Rattus norvegicus: one gene and its partners. The protein of the gene in region 3 purifies or fractionates together with the protein of the main gene of each other region. This does not show direct contact. Links are inferred from orthologs where the notes say so. Each region holds a gene or a part of one and is shown on either strand. Other genes may lie near its edges.

The links.
Region 1: the proteins of Rictor (region 3) and Flna purify together in Homo sapiens (affinity purification with mass spectrometry; 3 studies listed by BioGRID and IntAct, with this or other methods). This does not show direct contact. The link is inferred for Rattus norvegicus from reciprocal best matches to the Homo sapiens genes RICTOR and FLNA.
Region 2: the proteins of Rictor (region 3) and Fbxw7 purify together in Homo sapiens (affinity purification with western blotting; 3 studies listed by BioGRID, with this or other methods). This does not show direct contact. The link is inferred for Rattus norvegicus from reciprocal best matches to the Homo sapiens genes RICTOR and FBXW7.

The regions. Positions count from the first base shown.
Region 1 is NC_086039.1:157,178,642-157,184,423, reverse strand, and holds the start of Flna (filamin-A), read left to right. Parts: upstream 1-2,080; 5' UTR 2,081-2,249; coding exon 2,250-2,622; intron 2,623-5,485; coding exon 5,486-5,734; intron 5,735-5,782. UniProt on the Homo sapiens protein: Promotes orthogonal branching of actin filaments and links actin filaments to membrane glycoproteins. Anchors various transmembrane proteins to the actin cytoskeleton and serves as a scaffold for a wide range of cytoplasmic signaling proteins.
Region 2 is NC_086020.1:172,445,522-172,451,439, forward strand, and holds the start of Fbxw7 (F-box/WD repeat-containing protein 7), read left to right. Parts: upstream 1-2,216; 5' UTR 2,217-3,370; exon of another isoform or gene 3,371-3,404; intron 3,405-5,918. UniProt on the Homo sapiens protein: Substrate recognition component of a SCF (SKP1-CUL1-F-box protein) E3 ubiquitin-protein ligase complex which mediates the ubiquitination and subsequent proteasomal degradation of target proteins.
Region 3 is NC_086020.1:57,625,085-57,629,641, forward strand, and holds part of Rictor (rapamycin-insensitive companion of mTOR), read left to right. Parts: coding exon 1-26; intron 27-365; coding exon 366-489; intron 490-1,638; coding exon 1,639-1,777; intron 1,778-1,919; coding exon 1,920-1,994; 3' UTR 1,995-4,557. UniProt on the Homo sapiens protein: Component of the mechanistic target of rapamycin complex 2 (mTORC2), which transduces signals from growth factors to pathways involved in proliferation, cytoskeletal organization, lipogenesis and anabolic output.

The sequences.
Region 1 (5,782 bases), on a different chromosome or scaffold from region 3:
TCTGGGTCTTTGGGATGGAGCGACATCTGGTGGTGACACTTGTCCACACAGAATGTCCCCCCACCCAATTCCCTTTTTCTCCCTAAATAGCCAAATCATAGGGCTGGGAAACACAAGTTCTTTGTGCTCTCTCTGTGTTATGGTTCAATTTTCCTTGTTCTTTGTAAATTGATGAACTCAGGTGATCCACCCAAATGGCACTGAGTGGAAAATCATTTATTGATGCAATTCCATACATGGGGATTTGCTCTCCAATAGGTGAGGGGGACCAGAAATATTACCCTAATCGTGTCTTGAATAACATCACTGGAAGTTTCCATTTGGGTTACCCTTTCACAGTTCTGCCATCCTGTCCCCCAACTCAACCTTTGGCTCACTTATGAAAACAGAAAAGGAGAGGATATCTTCTTCTTTATGTAGGTGATGGGATGGGGTGGTGGTTCTCTACTGAAAATGTTATTTGACTGGTAATATTATAGACAATCTCAAGATGACCATGCTGAAAGGTGATGCCCATTATGATCAAAGTCCTATCATAGTGTCACCACAGGCAATGAAGACACTCCAGGCCATGGGAGAGTCAACCATATTTGGGCATGACATGTTAGCCAACCCAAGGCCTTCTTCAGCCACTGGTCTTTTTTTACTTATTAATTTTATGTGCATAGTTTTGCCTGCATTCATGTCTGTGTGAGGGTGTCAGATCCCCTGGACCTGAACTTATAGACAGTTGTAAGGGTGCTGGGAATTGAACCCAGGTTTTCTAGAAGAGCAGCCAGTGCTCTAACCACGGAGCCATCTCTCCAGCTCCAGCCACTGGGCTTAGAATTGAGAAATAGGGATAAAGACCTGCCTTTCTGGAAAAACAGTTTTAACATTCTGGGGAGGCTTGAAACACAGAGAAAGTAGATGGAAGGAGTCTACCAAGGGAAAGACATATAGGTAAAATGAATCCTCTTAACTTAAGAGGGTGGTTGGGAGTATCCCCACAGTTTTCTTGTCTCTGTATCTTTGCTCCTCATCACTATCTCCAGAAAATATCTGTCATAAAATTAACTTTTAGCAAGTAGCTTCACACTACTCAGGGAACACACCCAGGCTCTTTAGCAAGCCTTGATGTCTGGTGATTCTCCTTCCTTCAGTAATCTTGGACCTATCCCTGAGCTTGGGGCTGTTCTGCCAGAGAAGACTTCTCCCCTCAAAACTCCTCAGGGCCCAAGGTGGATGGAACAGTGAGTTAGGCAGGTACAAGGTGTACCCATCTACATGCATCACACAGCAGGCACCTTCTGATTGTGCCCATTGGCATGCCCTGGACCTTTGGAAAGCTGCTTGGTCCTACAGTGTTGGCGGCCTCTTGTCCCAGTGCTAGCCCCATTTCCTCCAGGATGGAACTAGGCGGCAGAGAGGACGGTGGGAATGGGCCTGTACAGGTGTGCAGGCCAGGGCCATGGAGCCTGTGAAGACCAGCGGAGATGGGTAGCGAGTGCCAGGGGTCTGTGGGTAGTTATGTAGGTGATGAGAGTCCTGTATGACAGCACTTGTGCACACAAAGAGCTCGCAACAGCGTCAGGCGCTGTGGAAAGGTTTGCTCTCAGGATTGGACTCTTCGCATTGCTGTGGACCAGACTGTGGCTGAGAATCCTAAGCTTAGTTTAGGAAGAACAGAGAATGAAGATAGAGCAGGGTACAGGGTTGGGGCGGAGCCCAAGTGATACGGGAACGTTATTAGCTCCGCCCTCTGCAGGGACCCTGGGGTAAGAAAGTCCCTTGTAAGGGTGTGCCGACTGGAGCTGAGCAATTCTGTGACGGCTGGAGCTGAGCAACTCTGTGATAGAATTGCTCAAGTTTTCCTAGATCTGGGGTCCGCTTCCTGTAGTACTGTAACGGATGTTGCTAGACTTTTTTGTGCTCTTTGGGGATCAAAAACCCTTCTGAAGCAGGGGAGCTGAGTTGCTTTGGCGGGGTCGCGGCGGCAGCGGTGGGGGATGGGGGGATTGTGGGAGCATTCCAACGGGAGGGGCGAGGTAGGGCGGGCGCGGTCCACAAGCCCCACCCAGAGGCCCCGCCCCAAGGAAACCTTGCCTCTAGCCCCGCCCTTCGCCCCCATTTAAAGGGCTCGCTCTTTCCGCAGTGCAACCTCTGTTCTGTGCCTCGTCTTTCCTGCGCGGAGGTGCCTACTACTTTAATTAAAGGGCCGTCCCATCGGCGAGGCTGCAGCACCGCCCCTAGGTTCCTCGCGCCTCAAAATGAGTAGCTCTCACTCCCGCTCCGGCCAGAGTGCGGCAGGCGCGTCTCCGGCAGGCGGTATTGATACACGGGACGCTGAGATGCCGGCTACCGAAAAAGACCTAGCAGAAGATGCACCATGGAAGAAGATCCAGCAGAACACATTTACCCGCTGGTGCAATGAGCACCTTAAGTGCGTGAGCAAGCGCATCGCCAATCTGCAGACGGACCTGAGCGATGGATTGCGGCTCATCGCGCTGCTTGAGGTACTCAGCCAGAAGAAGATGCACCGCAAGCACAACCAACGACCCACTTTCCGCCAGATGCAGCTGGAAAATGTGTCTGTGGCGCTTGAATTCCTGGACCGTGAGAGCATCAAGCTCGTGTCCATAGGTGAGAGCGCGGGCCACACTGGGGCACGCGCGGGTGCGGGCGTGGTCACCACAATTCTTCCTCTCTTCCCCTCTAGAGGCTCCCTCTCAGTTCTCCTCCCTAGCTGAAGCACAACCAACGATTCCCCTAGGCCCCTCAGCCGCCTTGTTCTTCGAGGTCCTCGAGAACAAAGGCGCGCAAGCTGGCCTGGGGAGCGTGCGAACCGCTACGCGCCCCCGCCCGCTGCGCCCTGCTGGCCTGCTCCCAGGCTGAGCTCACATCCTCTGTAGGCCGCGCCCCCAACGCTGCACCCGAGGTGGGACAGGCACAGACTAGGCTTCTGCCCCTGAGAGCCGCACCCCATTCCTGGGGATATCCATGCTTTTCACCTACAATAATTTAAAAAGTACCCTTCTAGCCTTCGGCTGCCTCTGCAGTTCTAAAGTGAAGGTTGCACTTTGTTCTATTTATGTAGGACTCCCTCAACTTCTTGCCCTGGAACCTGCTTCCCCATTGGAGATAGTTCAAATTCCCAGTTTATATCTTTTTTTGCTGAACTCGGAGGGGGGCAAGAGATGCATTGCTGGCACCAGTGTACTCCGGGTGTATTGAGTGTGGTTGACTTGGAGGCACTTGGGCACTTGACTGTAGTATATGCTTGGTTGCCAGCTTTGCTGTCTATCATGACTCAAATTCTTGTTTCCATGTAAACTTTGGTTTTGTACTTCTAGAACACAGAGATTGGTTGAAATGTGCTCCAGTGTGCACAGGGTTTACTGCTAGCCCAGTGCCCATGTCTTTGAACTGGAGACGTTGGCATTGGCATTGTCTCTTGCAGAATCCCATGCCTTTTACAAAGTAGGGGTTGCCCATAGACAGGCACCAGAATTGGTAACATGGGAATGTGGAACAGGGAGAGTAGAAGAATGGACTTTTCTCCATAATAGAAAGGGTTTTCTGTTATTCGCACAACTTTGCAATGGTGCAGGCTAGTTAATCCAGTGAGGGACCAAGGTTCTCCTGGGCCCTTAGAGAGCAGATTTGAGTTCATCTTTTTTTTTTTTTTTGGAATGCCATAGAGGCATGCCGGTGGATGTATGAAAACCCACCCCTAGTCCCAGCCCCAGTCTAGCCAGCTGAGTCATTGAGTCATTTCTGAGTCTTGGAGGGGGGCAACCGGATGTGGGGAGGCAGGCCACACCCCAGCTCTTTAGGGGGGTCTCCTCCCCCCTTCTTTCTCCCCTCCTTCTTGTGAGCTGGCTGGAGCAGGCCTAGTTCCCAGAGCTTTGCCATATAAGGCAAAAAAATGTTGGAAAGCAGCAGTGATTAGGGGAGGGAGGGGGCCGGCTGGCCCAGGGGCTGAGGATAAGGGGTGGGATGGGGCGGGGCCATCTAACCAGGCTGCTTCCCAACCCTGGGCCCTGATCCTCTCCTCCACTGGGGGGAGTACGAAGCTGGCATAGCCCCCCACCTAATCAGATTAGGGGAGGGACCAGATGTACCTTACTAAGATGATGGGTCTGCCTTTGCTCTTTCCCTTGGAAGCTACCAAGGACTATGGTCTCCTTGGGGGTTCTTCCGCTGGACCTATGACTTAGGTAGGGCAGGATCCTTGTGTCCTTGGTCTTCTTTGGAACCCCCCCCCCATTCTCTCAGTATTTTGGGACAATGAAAAACATCCACAAAGGGCCAGGATCTGTTTGTGAATCGGAAAGATCACTCTGTTTTGAGAGGCTCAGTAGTAGTTTTTCAGTTACTTTCCCTTTGGGCTGGAATGTTATCTGCTCTCTCAATGGTATCCTCCTAGTTTTCATGACCCTCCCCCATTGACTCACTAGATCAACATTCTCTGATTACAGGGAAGTTCTGTAGGGTTTCCAAAGATGAGCTTTAGAAAATGCTACTCACCATAAGCCATCCACCCTTGAGGAGGTTAAAGAGGTGGCTTTGGGTGGGGCTCAGGGGAGTTGCCATAGTGATGGGTATTTAGGGTGCCCGCCCTAACCACTTCCCTTGTGGCAAGCCTAGTGACTTCCGGAGACCTAGCCCATTAGGTAGCAACTAGACTGGGTGGTGAGTAGCATCTAAGCAGGTTATGCTGAAACAAAGGGACTTAACAAAATGCAAGGCCCCTGTAACAGGGGTTCCCAAGTGGTTCTTGGAACCAAAGGCAGGCTAACTCAGCTGTCACCCCAGGAGTTCCCTATAAGCCTCAATGGGTTGGAACTAACCATAGTTCCTTTGACTTGTGCCCCCTTCCCCAAGCCAGCCCTCTTTATTTGCCACCTCCTGTTTACTAGCTTGGTGGGGGGGACAAGGAAGTAGCAAAGGGTGGAGCTCACACCCTTTTACACAAGGATCCTTACCAACACCCCCACTTCCTCTGCCTTATCCCCCACTCTGGAGCAGCAGTTGTATTTCCTAACTACTCTTTGCCAACTTAGCCTTCCTCTTCTTTGGTTCCAGCCCAACTTGAGGTCAGGGGCCCTGTTTTTGGCCAGTCAGGACTGAGCCACTTCTCTTAGTTCCCATAGATCCCAAGATATTAAGGCAGGTTTTGATCTCAGCAGCTGCAAAGCATTCATCTCACTTGTTCTCCCACCCTCTTTCTGGGCTTTGGGGTTTTTGGCAGAGTCCCTCTTATTGCATTATATTATCATTATGTATCTATGGGTGTCTTCTCAAACTTTCCTTTATCACTAAATATTTTCTTACATGGTTCAGAGGCCCTGGGCAGAGGGAGCTTGATCCACTTAATACCCCTAGTTGGGAGGGGCCTTTTGTCATCTAATTGATTTGCTGTGCTGCTGACTTAGGTCCCTCCTTGCTGACCTTGGTGAGGGAAATCCCTAACTGTGCAGTGCTGCCACCTCTTTTTCCACAGACAGCAAGGCCATTGTGGATGGGAATCTGAAACTGATCTTAGGACTCATCTGGACCCTGATCCTGCACTACTCCATCTCGATGCCCATGTGGGATGAGGAAGAGGATGAGGAGGCCAAGAAGCAAACACCCAAACAGAGGCTTCTAGGCTGGATTCAGAACAAGCTGCCACAGCTGCCCATTACCAACTTCAGTCGAGACTGGCAGAGTGGCCGGGCCCTGGGTGCTCTTGTTGATAGCTGTGCCCCAGGTGAGGGGGCACATAGATGGGGGATCTTGGACTAAGGCTATCTAGTCA
Region 2 (5,918 bases), about 110 Mb from region 3:
ATTTTTCTGATTTACTTTTTGGAAATCTGATTTAGCGGCTATATTTCTCCTCTAGATTATCAGACAATATGAGGAACTAAAAGGATATACAACAAATTGGAGATGTATGAATTCCTTCCTCTCCAGCAGCCAGTTGTAGACAGCTGTTTACTCCTGTTACCAGGCTGGGCAAGGAGGAGAATGGACTTTCAGTGAGCGTTAGTGCAGCTACTATTCCTGAGGAGGTTGCTCAGGGCTCCTGTGAGTCTCATTCTGACCCTCACTGATGAGGTTCTAAATTGGAGCCACTGACAATGAGGCAGATCCGACTCTGACACTCCCCATGGTGCACTTCTCCGGAAGCATCCTTGGTTGTGGAGCTCTGATGTTTGTACTCTTTCCACTCAAAGTCCACAAACTTTAACTCTGAGGAGCTCAGCTTCCCCAAACTCCTCTGCACCTGTATTTTATTTAATTTCTGCTGTAAGGAGGAGAGTTCAACAAAAGGATTATGTTGCAGCTATGTTGGGCTATTGTTGAATTGATCTGATTCCCTGTGAATCTTACTGGAATACAGCCTGCGAATGGATCATGTTTGTAGACACTTAAATCCAGGGTAATTAGGGCAAGTTGTTTGACGCCTGGGATTTCAGGTAGAGTACAGAGGGTCTGGTGCAACTTGCCTCTTCTTGCTTTTGTGGCCTCCTCCTCTCTCCTTTACTCACTTTTTTTTTTTTTTTTTGGCTTTTGTCATCTCTGAACAAAAAAATGAACCCTTGATTTATCAACATAGACATTTTCTTGATCTATGTTGCATGAGGTGGTACAGCAGTGGCATAAACCTAGGCTTGCTTCTTAAATGTGTGCAGAGTGTGTTTGGCCCAATCTCCCATCACTGTTGCTTCCAGAGGGACGGGGTGCAGGCAGGTCCAGCCACACAACGGTTTCCCTTCATCTTAGCTGCTGCTTTAATCTCACTGTCAGACCGCTAAGAAGGGTAGGTTCAAGACAGATTTCTGAACACTGTGGTTCTTTATCTCGAAAATTCTTTTACTAGAGGACCATAGCTTAAATTTCATGAGTTTTTTCTTAAACTTATTTCCCAGACCAGAATCTGTAAGACAAACGGCTTAATAGATTTATTAATAACATACCTCTACCCCCCCACCCCCGGCCGCTAACACACACAGTGGGAGAGGGAGGGAGGAAGGGAGAGAGGAGAGGTATTGAGACTTGAGAGTCGCCAAAATGTTTTGAAGACGGTAAGGGGCACTCTGATGAACAAAATCAGCTCTCTAAAAAGTTCCCCCAAATCTAAACGACAAACAAGAATGACTCTTAAAAGGGAGGCTGTTTTCCAACCCTAGTAATTTCGCCTCCTTTCCCACAAAAGCCTGAAGTTGCGACTCTCAACAAACAGCCTCTCATCTCTTTCCTTTCATTGCATGTGGCGGGTGGGGGTGAGGAGGGAGATGTATTACAACTCTCACGTTTCTACACTTCAATTTACAAAACGCTTGCGCTTCCACCATCACCTCGGAGTTCCGCTAAGGCTGTGCTAGAGGCAGGCTTGTATACACTTATACACACACACACACACACACACACACACACACACACACTCACTCACTCACTCACTCACTCACTCACTACACAGAATGCAGCGCCAGGTTTCACCCCACGCCACGGGAAGGGTGGGGTGGCTCGCTCCGGGGAGCAGGTGCAACCTCTGGGCTGTAGGTTAACTTTTCCACCCGTCTCTCTGTTTGAAGATCTGCTCCGGACCAAATGCCTCACCTTCGGGTGGTGCGCGCCCTAGCCCGGTCCCTGGCCTCCTCCTCACTCCCAGAGGAGCAGTTCGCACCTGCCCCGGAGGGAACGGCTACGGAGCTCTCTCTCCGCGCCCTAGGGTCAGGGGTAAGATTAGGCGGTAGCTTAGGCTCGCCTGGGCTCCTCCCCTTCCTCTCTTCAGTTCTGACGCGGCCGTAGAGGCGGCGGCGGAGGCAGCGGCGGCGGTAGCAGCAGCAGTCCCGCGGCCCGAGGCGCACCCACCCGCTCCCAGATCTCGACTTCCTTTTCCCTTTGTGCGTCATCAGAACGCGCCACAGCCTCCCAGGGCGGGGTGGCTGGAGATGGGGAGAAAAGGCCAGCAAAGGAAGGCGCAGAGTGGAAGGGGAAGGGAGGGAGAGGAGAGCGGTTGCTAGGCGACTTACGTCATCGCTGGGCGCCGCTCTCCTCCCGCCCCTCTCTGGAGTGAGGCGAGAGCCCCGCACAGAGCGAGAGAGACAGCGAGCTGAGCTTCGGGCGCTGCCGCCGCCGCCGGTGAGAGCGAGTGAGTGAGCGAGCGAGCATCCGAGAGACCCGGCACCCGTGCACTGGCCGCCGCCGAGACCTTCGCCGCAGCCCGGGCCATCGGGAGCCGTGGCCGCCGTCTGCTCCCCCCCTTACCTTCCCGGCCGGCAGCGGCTGCTGCACACGCCGAAGCGGGAGCCCCAGCCAGAGCCGGAGCCAGAGCCGGAGCCGGAGCCCGCGGCCGGGGGGCAGGGAGGCGGCTGCCGCCGGTCGGGACTCGTAGCTGCTCAGCCGGGAGAGGACGCCCGCGAGGGGCTGGGCTTTCTGCCTCGCCCCGGAGTGTGGGGCGAAGGACCCCCCGAGGTGTAGGGAGGGGGTCCCGGCCGCCGCGACACATGCGGGAGCCGGGAGCGGGGGCGGCGCCGATCCGAGCCCGCCGGGTCCCCAGCCTTGCCGCCGTCCAGACCGGCCGACCCGGGCCGTAGCATCCCATAGCGGAGTGTATGAACCGGGGCCCCCAGCCCAGGAGCCACCTCCGGGCCGGGGGGGCGGGGACCCCGATGTGAAACGGCCGCGGCGGCGTGGTGAGCGGCCCGGGCGCCGCTGTCCTCTCCTTCCCCTCCCCTCCCCTTCACCCCCTCTGGGGGGCTTCTCCTTGGGCCCGCCGCCGCACCCCGGCTCCTCGGCGGGACTCCAGGAGTTCTCGGCGCCCCCTCCCCGCCCCAGCCCCCCAGGGCGGCGGGGCCGGGGGGGACTCGGGGGGCCGGCTGCAGCCTCCGCCCAGAGGAAACTTTACCCAAACAAAATCTTCGAGCTTTCTGATTGTGACTGTCCCGGGACAAGTGGCCCAGGACGGGCTGAAGCCACAGCCTGCAGAGACCCAGGAAGAGAAAAAGCGGTGAGCGGGGCTGCTGCCGCTGCCGCCGCCGCCGCCTCAGCTTCTATCCCGGCAGCGCGGAAGAGACCCGGGTAGCTGCTCCGTGGAGCGACGCTAGCACCGCTTCTTAGTTCCGCGCCTAGCCTTCCGCAGCTGCCCGCCTCAGCCCGAAGGAGGAAGGGAGCCAGCCACATTGTCAGCGCCACCGCTCGTCTCTGAAGCGTGAGTGGACCCGAAGGAGGGGGGACATTATAAGGTGACAAGTGGGAGCGGGTGGGTGCTTTGATGGTGGAGTTGGGCTGTTTCTCGGGAGGGTTGGCAGTGGAGACCTTTCCTTTCTAATTTCGGGAGAAAGCGTCAGTTTGCAGGAGTAATGCAAGTACTCGGGCGTTTTTCTTAGAGGAGCTGTGTGGACAGCTCTGTCCTCTACCTTTTTCTGGCAACCTGATTCTGGCAGTGGTTTTTGTTTCAGGGAAACTCCCATGGATTCCCACGTGGGAATCACTTGAATCAACTCTTATTTTATTTTATTTTTTTTCCTTTCCTAACTATTGTTTTTGAAGTTGCCCTGGTCAGGAAGACCAATTTTGATTTTAGTGCAAAGAGGGGTTTGGTGCCCCCAGCGCTTTATTTCATAAGTCCACAGACTCCAATGTGTAGAGTCCTTGTTTGCATGTTTCATTTGGCTCAGGAGAATCCGAGTTCCTAGGATGCACAACTCGCTGAAACTTATTTCAGGGAGAGCACTTGCAACTTCTCTCTCTCTCTCTCTTTCTCTCTCTCTCTCTCTCTCTCTCTCTCTCTCTCTCTCTCGTCATCTATTTTAAGTGATAACACATTTCTACTAGGGACTGAAAGGACATGCATGCTGCTTTTCTTATTTGGCTCTACTTGTCAACATAGAAACTTGTACTCTTTTAAGAAAGCACTTAGCACACTGAGTGCTAAATTAGAGGTACAGAAAAGTAATGTTTCAACTATGTAAGGTTAAACTAAACATCTTAAGGCAAGTACTGTGGGATTTTGTGTAACAAGGAACATAGGCAGTGTAAGACTGAGAACGCCGGTCCACCCAGACAACTAAATTTGGGCAGAATAGAGATCCTCCGTAGAAATGAATGGAAACCTGGGAGTATCCATTTATCTATCCACCCATTCTAATCTCTCCATTTAGGATCTTGATTAAATTTCTTTGAAAGTTTCTCACACTTCACAATGTTCTCCCCTCCTCTTCTTAAAGTAAGGAACCTTCAAGTTTATTATTCTGCACTATGTAACAATTTACTTCTCTTTGTCCTGCCTTCTCAATCTTTCAGGATACAGTTTCTTTGAGGAATGCTAAAACACTGTGAGCTAATCTTACATTTCTTATAGACTTTGTTTGATTTCTCCTATCATCTGTTCCAACTTTTTTTTTTTTTTTTTTTTTTTTTTTAGTTTACAGGTTTCAGGTTGTTTATTTCAGTGGAAGTTGAATAAATATATTCAGTGGTCACAGTATTGTCATCCTATCCTCTGACACAGATATATTATCTTGATCTAAAACAAAATTAATTTTTGCACATAACCAGAGGCCCATATTCCACCATGGTCTTTAATAATCAATGAACCTAACTGTGGCCCTTTGTTCCAACTTTTTTTAAAAGACAGTTTTACTATGTTACCTTGACTGTCCTGGAATTATCTCTGTAGACCAGGCTGGCCTAGTATTCACAGAGATGTACCTGCTTCTGCCTTCTAAGTGCTGGCTGGAATTAAAAGGTGTGTGTCCTGACTGCCAGCCATGTTGAAACTTTTGTGGCCCCCCAAACCCCATTTCTTTGGCTATCTTTCCCCTCTTTCTGGGTCTTCTAGCTCTTTATGTTTTGTTAGATACTTTGTTCTTCTTATGCTTTTACAAGACACCTTACATTCTACTTAAGTGGCATGAAAATATTGAATGGTAAATTTCTTTAGATTTAGAATAAAACACATTTTTTGATTTGCTAACCTTACTTTGTTACCCTGAGAAAGTCATGTATTCCAGCTTTGAAAAAGATGATACTTGAGAAACTTAGACTTGCATAGTTTGCTTCTTGGAAAGAAGGAGAGAATAAACCAAGAAGTGGTACTTTGAGTTTGTATTGCATCTGGTCAAAGTTGCTTACCAACTGGAGGACCTGCTTTGTGGGAAAACTGGTTTTAAATTGTGGAAATACTTTACTGTAATAAGAAATAAGTAATAAGAAAACATTTGCTACTTTCAGTCTTTGAGGGTGCCTTTTCTTACCAATACCAGAGGCAATCAATATAAATTGTACAAAACTTTAGGAAAGATTGGGCTGGTGTGATAGCTCCGTGGGTAAAGCTGCTTGCTGCATAAGTCTAAGGACATGTAGTCCAGCGGTGGAAGGAGAAAACTTAACTGTACAGAGTTGTCCTCTGACCTGTGCTGTGTGCATGAACATGTAGTAGTAGTAGTAGTAGTAGTAGTAGTAGTAGTAGTAGTAGTAGTAGTGTGGCAGTAGTAGTAAAAATAAATACATTTCTTAAAAATGTCAGAAAGGGGGACATGTGTCGCCATTATTACTCTTAAGATTACTATATGTCAGGGAATGCCATTGCACATTTTTATTAGGGAAATACTGATTTTGGATGACCCAGGAATAATTGGAGTGTCTGAGCCAAATCGTGGAAAGGCTCTTTTAGGAAGAAAAGAGCGTACACAAACAAAACTAAAGACTTAGAGTCAGAGTATGTAAAAGGGGAGATCTAATTGGGAAGCTAGTTT
Region 3 (4,557 bases):
CACCAAAAGCACTGAACTGTTACTGGGTGAGTCTTGGGGTTCAGTTTCCTGCTCCTTAATAAAACAGTCTTCAATTGGTTTTGCTTATTAGCATATGCACTGTAAATCAGAGTCATCTCAGGCTGTGCAGGTCAGCGCTAGTGAAAGCGTTTAGCAGACTCTTAAAGAGTGCACCTGTGCCGTCCATTCGCAGGTTCCCTGTCCGTGATCTGCTCTGCTAGAGCTTTGCTCTGAGGTCATTAGCAGGGTGTGTGCAGCCCGTGCCAGTTTTAGTTGCTTATGTAGTCTGAAAATAGATCCCGTGGCCTGTAATCATTCTGTATTGTGATGTGCTCAGGGGCCTCACTCTGGCGTCTTCATTTCAGGTGTTAAAACCATCCCAGATGACACACCCATGTGCCGCATCCTGCTCCGTAAAGAAGTGCTGAGATTGGTTGTCAATTTGAGTAGTTCAGTCTCCACCAAGTGTCACGAAACCGGGCTGTTGACGTGAGTAACTGTGTGAAGAGTGTCAGCTTGCTTTGCTTTGCAAGTTGTGACAGAGACACTTGTGCTCCATCGCTGTGGACATCACAGGCTGCCTTCCTGCTGTGGGCTCCCCCCCTGAGTGGGTCTTACAGGGGATGCGCTGGGGGCCTCAGTCTGTAGAGAAGATTGCAGGCCAGAGTGAGTGAGGATCCAGCCAGACTTTTAAACAGATCTGCACAACTGGGAAACTAACTCTAAAAGCAGGGCCATCCTTGCACACCCCCCTCTTTTTGTTTTGCTAAAATTTGGGGGTTTTAATTAAATAACTTACTATTTAACCTATACAATGTTTTTAAAATTTCTAAATTCCAGTTTCTGAAGTTGGTGGCTATAACTCATACCAAAAATAAATAAATAAATAAATAAATAAATAAATAAATAAATAAAGCTTTTTAGATTTTTTCAAGAAAGTTGAGGAAGACCAAAAGACTATATGCTTGAGAAGCAAGTTTAGGTAATAAACTGGTGGGATTTCCTGGCTAAATTGTGTTTCTAAGTCAAAGCCTGATAATGAAAATGTATTTGCATGGCTTGAAGCAGCGATTGTCTGAAGAAGTATACATGCTATTGGTGTTGGCTGTGTGGTCCGGGGCTGCAGAAGCGAGCCTTCAGCCCAGCCTCCCACCCACGCGGCTGGCTCTGAGGTGCTGTTCTCATAATAACTTGAAATGAACTTTACTTAAATGCCTTACAGTGTGAGCATGTTATGTAGTCATGTGAGTCTGATAAGATTCATGATTTTCTTACGTTACTAGAAAATAACTACAAGAAGCATTCAGCTTTTGATAATCATCGAAAAGCAGAAACTTAAACTGTCTAAAGTGTGAAGTAGAGAGGCTTCACGTTAAGTGGATGCGCATGTGATCATGGCAGACAGAGGCAGGAGGGTTGGAGGGAATGAATGAGGCATGGAGGCATTGGTCACGGCTGGAAGAAAAAAAGAGACAGACAAACCGATTGACTTTCTTATACTGTTAAGCCACCATTCCTAACATTTCATCTAATCAGTATCTGGAGAGAGAAAAAAATGAGCAGAAACTGCCATTTTGAGGGGTAAAATGAACAAATCATGTTAGAGTTTTATTACCACGTGGTCTCTCTTCATCTTAGCATTAAAGAGAAGTACCCGCAAACATTTGATGACATCTGCCTTTACTCTGAAGTCTCTCACCTGCTGTCACACTGCACATTCAGACTTCCCTGCCGGAGGTTCATACAGGAGTTGTTCCAGGATGTACAGTTCTTACAGGTAAGTAAGACTGCGTTCTGAAGTTTGTCTCCCTGAATTATTCTGTATTTGAAGTAAGTTGAAAGATTATATCTATATTATGTGCCATTTTTGGTTTTTTTTGTTTTTTTTTTTAAATTAACAATGTATTACTTTTTCCTAGATGCATGAAGAAGCAGAGGCTGTGTTGGCAATTCCACCAAATCAACCTATAGTTGACGAATCTGCCGAATCCTGACCTCATATTTATGATGTTTATAGCTAGAAACTATATATGTATTCAAACTTGTGGATTTCCTAAAAGCCTCACAGAGTACTGACTGGCTGACAGCGAGGCAGGAGAGTCTTCTGACTGTGGCCAGCAGTGATTGGTACAGAACTGCTAGAGCTGCTGGCATCCCCAGCCAGGCCACCTTCTCTCCCGTGTCGGGCCCTTCTTGGGGTTCGTGATTCATTACCACGGTTTTAATTCAGTTATCATCTTATGCAAGAGCTAAGCACTGAATACCTACATAGGTTTTCTATTTTTTTATTTTAAAAGCATAAGGGCAGTGGAACAAAACAGGACATGAAGAAGCATCCTTCACACAGTTGTTTCTGAATGCTTTTTAATCAAGGGTAAATGCAAAAGATGCCTTGTTTGTTAACTAGTGTGTGGAAACCAGGAGTCACTGACTGTAAGGCTGCATCCTGCTACCCACGGCTGTAACTGCTGGTATCAGGAGCACGCTGGCCTCTCCACACTCCCTCATGTCTGTGACACTACTTCAGAGGCTGATAACTCCAGAGCAAAGGGAGCCCAACACTTGCAACGTGGGAGTTATTTGATGATGCTAGACTGCATACGGATGCCTGTTCGTTCTCCTCTGCAGCTTTGTTGCAATGTGTTCTTAAAGGCTGTTCTTACTAATTAAGGGTTTTCACTACAATGTGATCAAAAGAAATAGTAAATTTGAAATACTTCTCATGTCCAGAACACATTATAGCCAGTGGCCTTCCGACCTCATCAACTCTTCTCACCACTGAATACAAATTGGACAAGCATTAGTGGTCTGGACCCAAAGCAAAGGAAAGCATTAAGTGATACTGCAATCTCTCAAGGAAAAGACAAGTTTGCCTGCAATTCACACATTCCATGGAAAAAAGGAAGAGCCATATGTCCTATTAAAAAGTCATTGAGACTCGTTTTTAAGAGGAAAAATTGTGGTGAAAGCCTTAATTACTAAATTTTAAAGAGGGATAATTTAATTGTTGTTAGTGTTCCTGTTTTGCATAAATTGCAGTTATAGGTGAGTTATGAGTACAGTCATTGCCTTTATCACATTTGTGAAGTCGATGAGGGCAAGGCTTGTCTGTCTGTCTAATTTGTATATGTATAAAGACACTTGGAAATCTTCACGGGAATTAAACATATATGCAAATCTGTACATAACATAGCATGAGCATCATGACTAGAATGCTTATCTGTGAGAGGCTGTCTTTTGAAACCATCTATAGAACAGACCATCCAGCTGGACTGACTGGGACCCTCTAATTCCTTTCTGTAGCCCATTTTACAATGCACATCAGCTTTACCACGTCATAGACGTTGCTCCATATTTCCCCACGTTGTACACCCTTCTCATAATGCTCTTGTTTGCAGGGTCGCTGTAAAGTGCCCTGTGAACTAGGAAGCATAACTCACAGAGATTTTTCTTATAATTTGCTGGCACTGAAAGTTCGCACTGGGATGAAGATTTCATCTCCCTCCCTAACTTCTTCGACTGCACTTCAGCGAGTTGTTCTCATGTGCACTGTGTAGCAACCTCCATGGCAACAAAGCAGACAAGGGCTCTAAGCTGCTGCTCGTGGTACAACACCGTTCTCGTTCTCGGAAAATCAGTGAGGAGAAAACTTCGATTTAAATGTCAGCAGTGCTTCTCAGAGCATGCCTGTCACTTTGGTCTTTGGTCTTGGATAATAAAACTGCCTTTCCAGAGAACCAAATGTCAGAGATACTAGACCAAATAGTGGTTACAATTCCAAAGGAAGTAATGTAGTCTTATTCATAAATGGGATTAACATTTTAGACATTCATTTTAAACACTACCTCAGTTAACAGAGTATAAAATCTGTGGTTTCGTCCCTCGAAAGTTAACAATAACTCTTCTTGTTTGTTTCTCTTCACACAAAACTATGCCCAGCCTTGCGCACCTGAGTCAGCCATCCTGAAATTGAGGCTGTGCCCTAGTGTCCTACGCATCTGTTTTGTTTTGACTTTTGACTGTTACTTTGAAAGAGGAGAGAGAGAGAGAGAGAGAGAGAGAGAGAGAGAGTGTGTGTGTGTGTGTGTGTGTGTGTGTGTGTGTGTGTGTGTGTGTGTGTTGTCATGTCTGCCTATAGCACTTACTTTGGGAAGGTATCAGAGCTTTGTGATTATCGGTAAATTGGGGGATATTGTCTATGCTTACATTTATAGTGCAATTTGGTTTAACCATGGTTTCACCAACAGGTGTAATACATTTCCTTTAAGTACGTGTATAAAAGTAGACTTTTATGACAAAAACTACATGCAGTGCCAAGTGATTAGCATAGGTGTTTACGACTATTAAATTATAGCAGGTTATAAATGATGTCAATGATAAAAGAAATCATTGAGAAAATTGTCTATAAATATTAGATATTACCAAAATATCAATACTGTAGTTTTTCAAGAGTTTAGAATTACTCTTAGTCATATAAATTTGTACTATTGATAATTAATAATTTGGAGGAGTTTGAACAGTTAAGCTGGTTGTAAACTGTGAATTTCTAATTGTAAA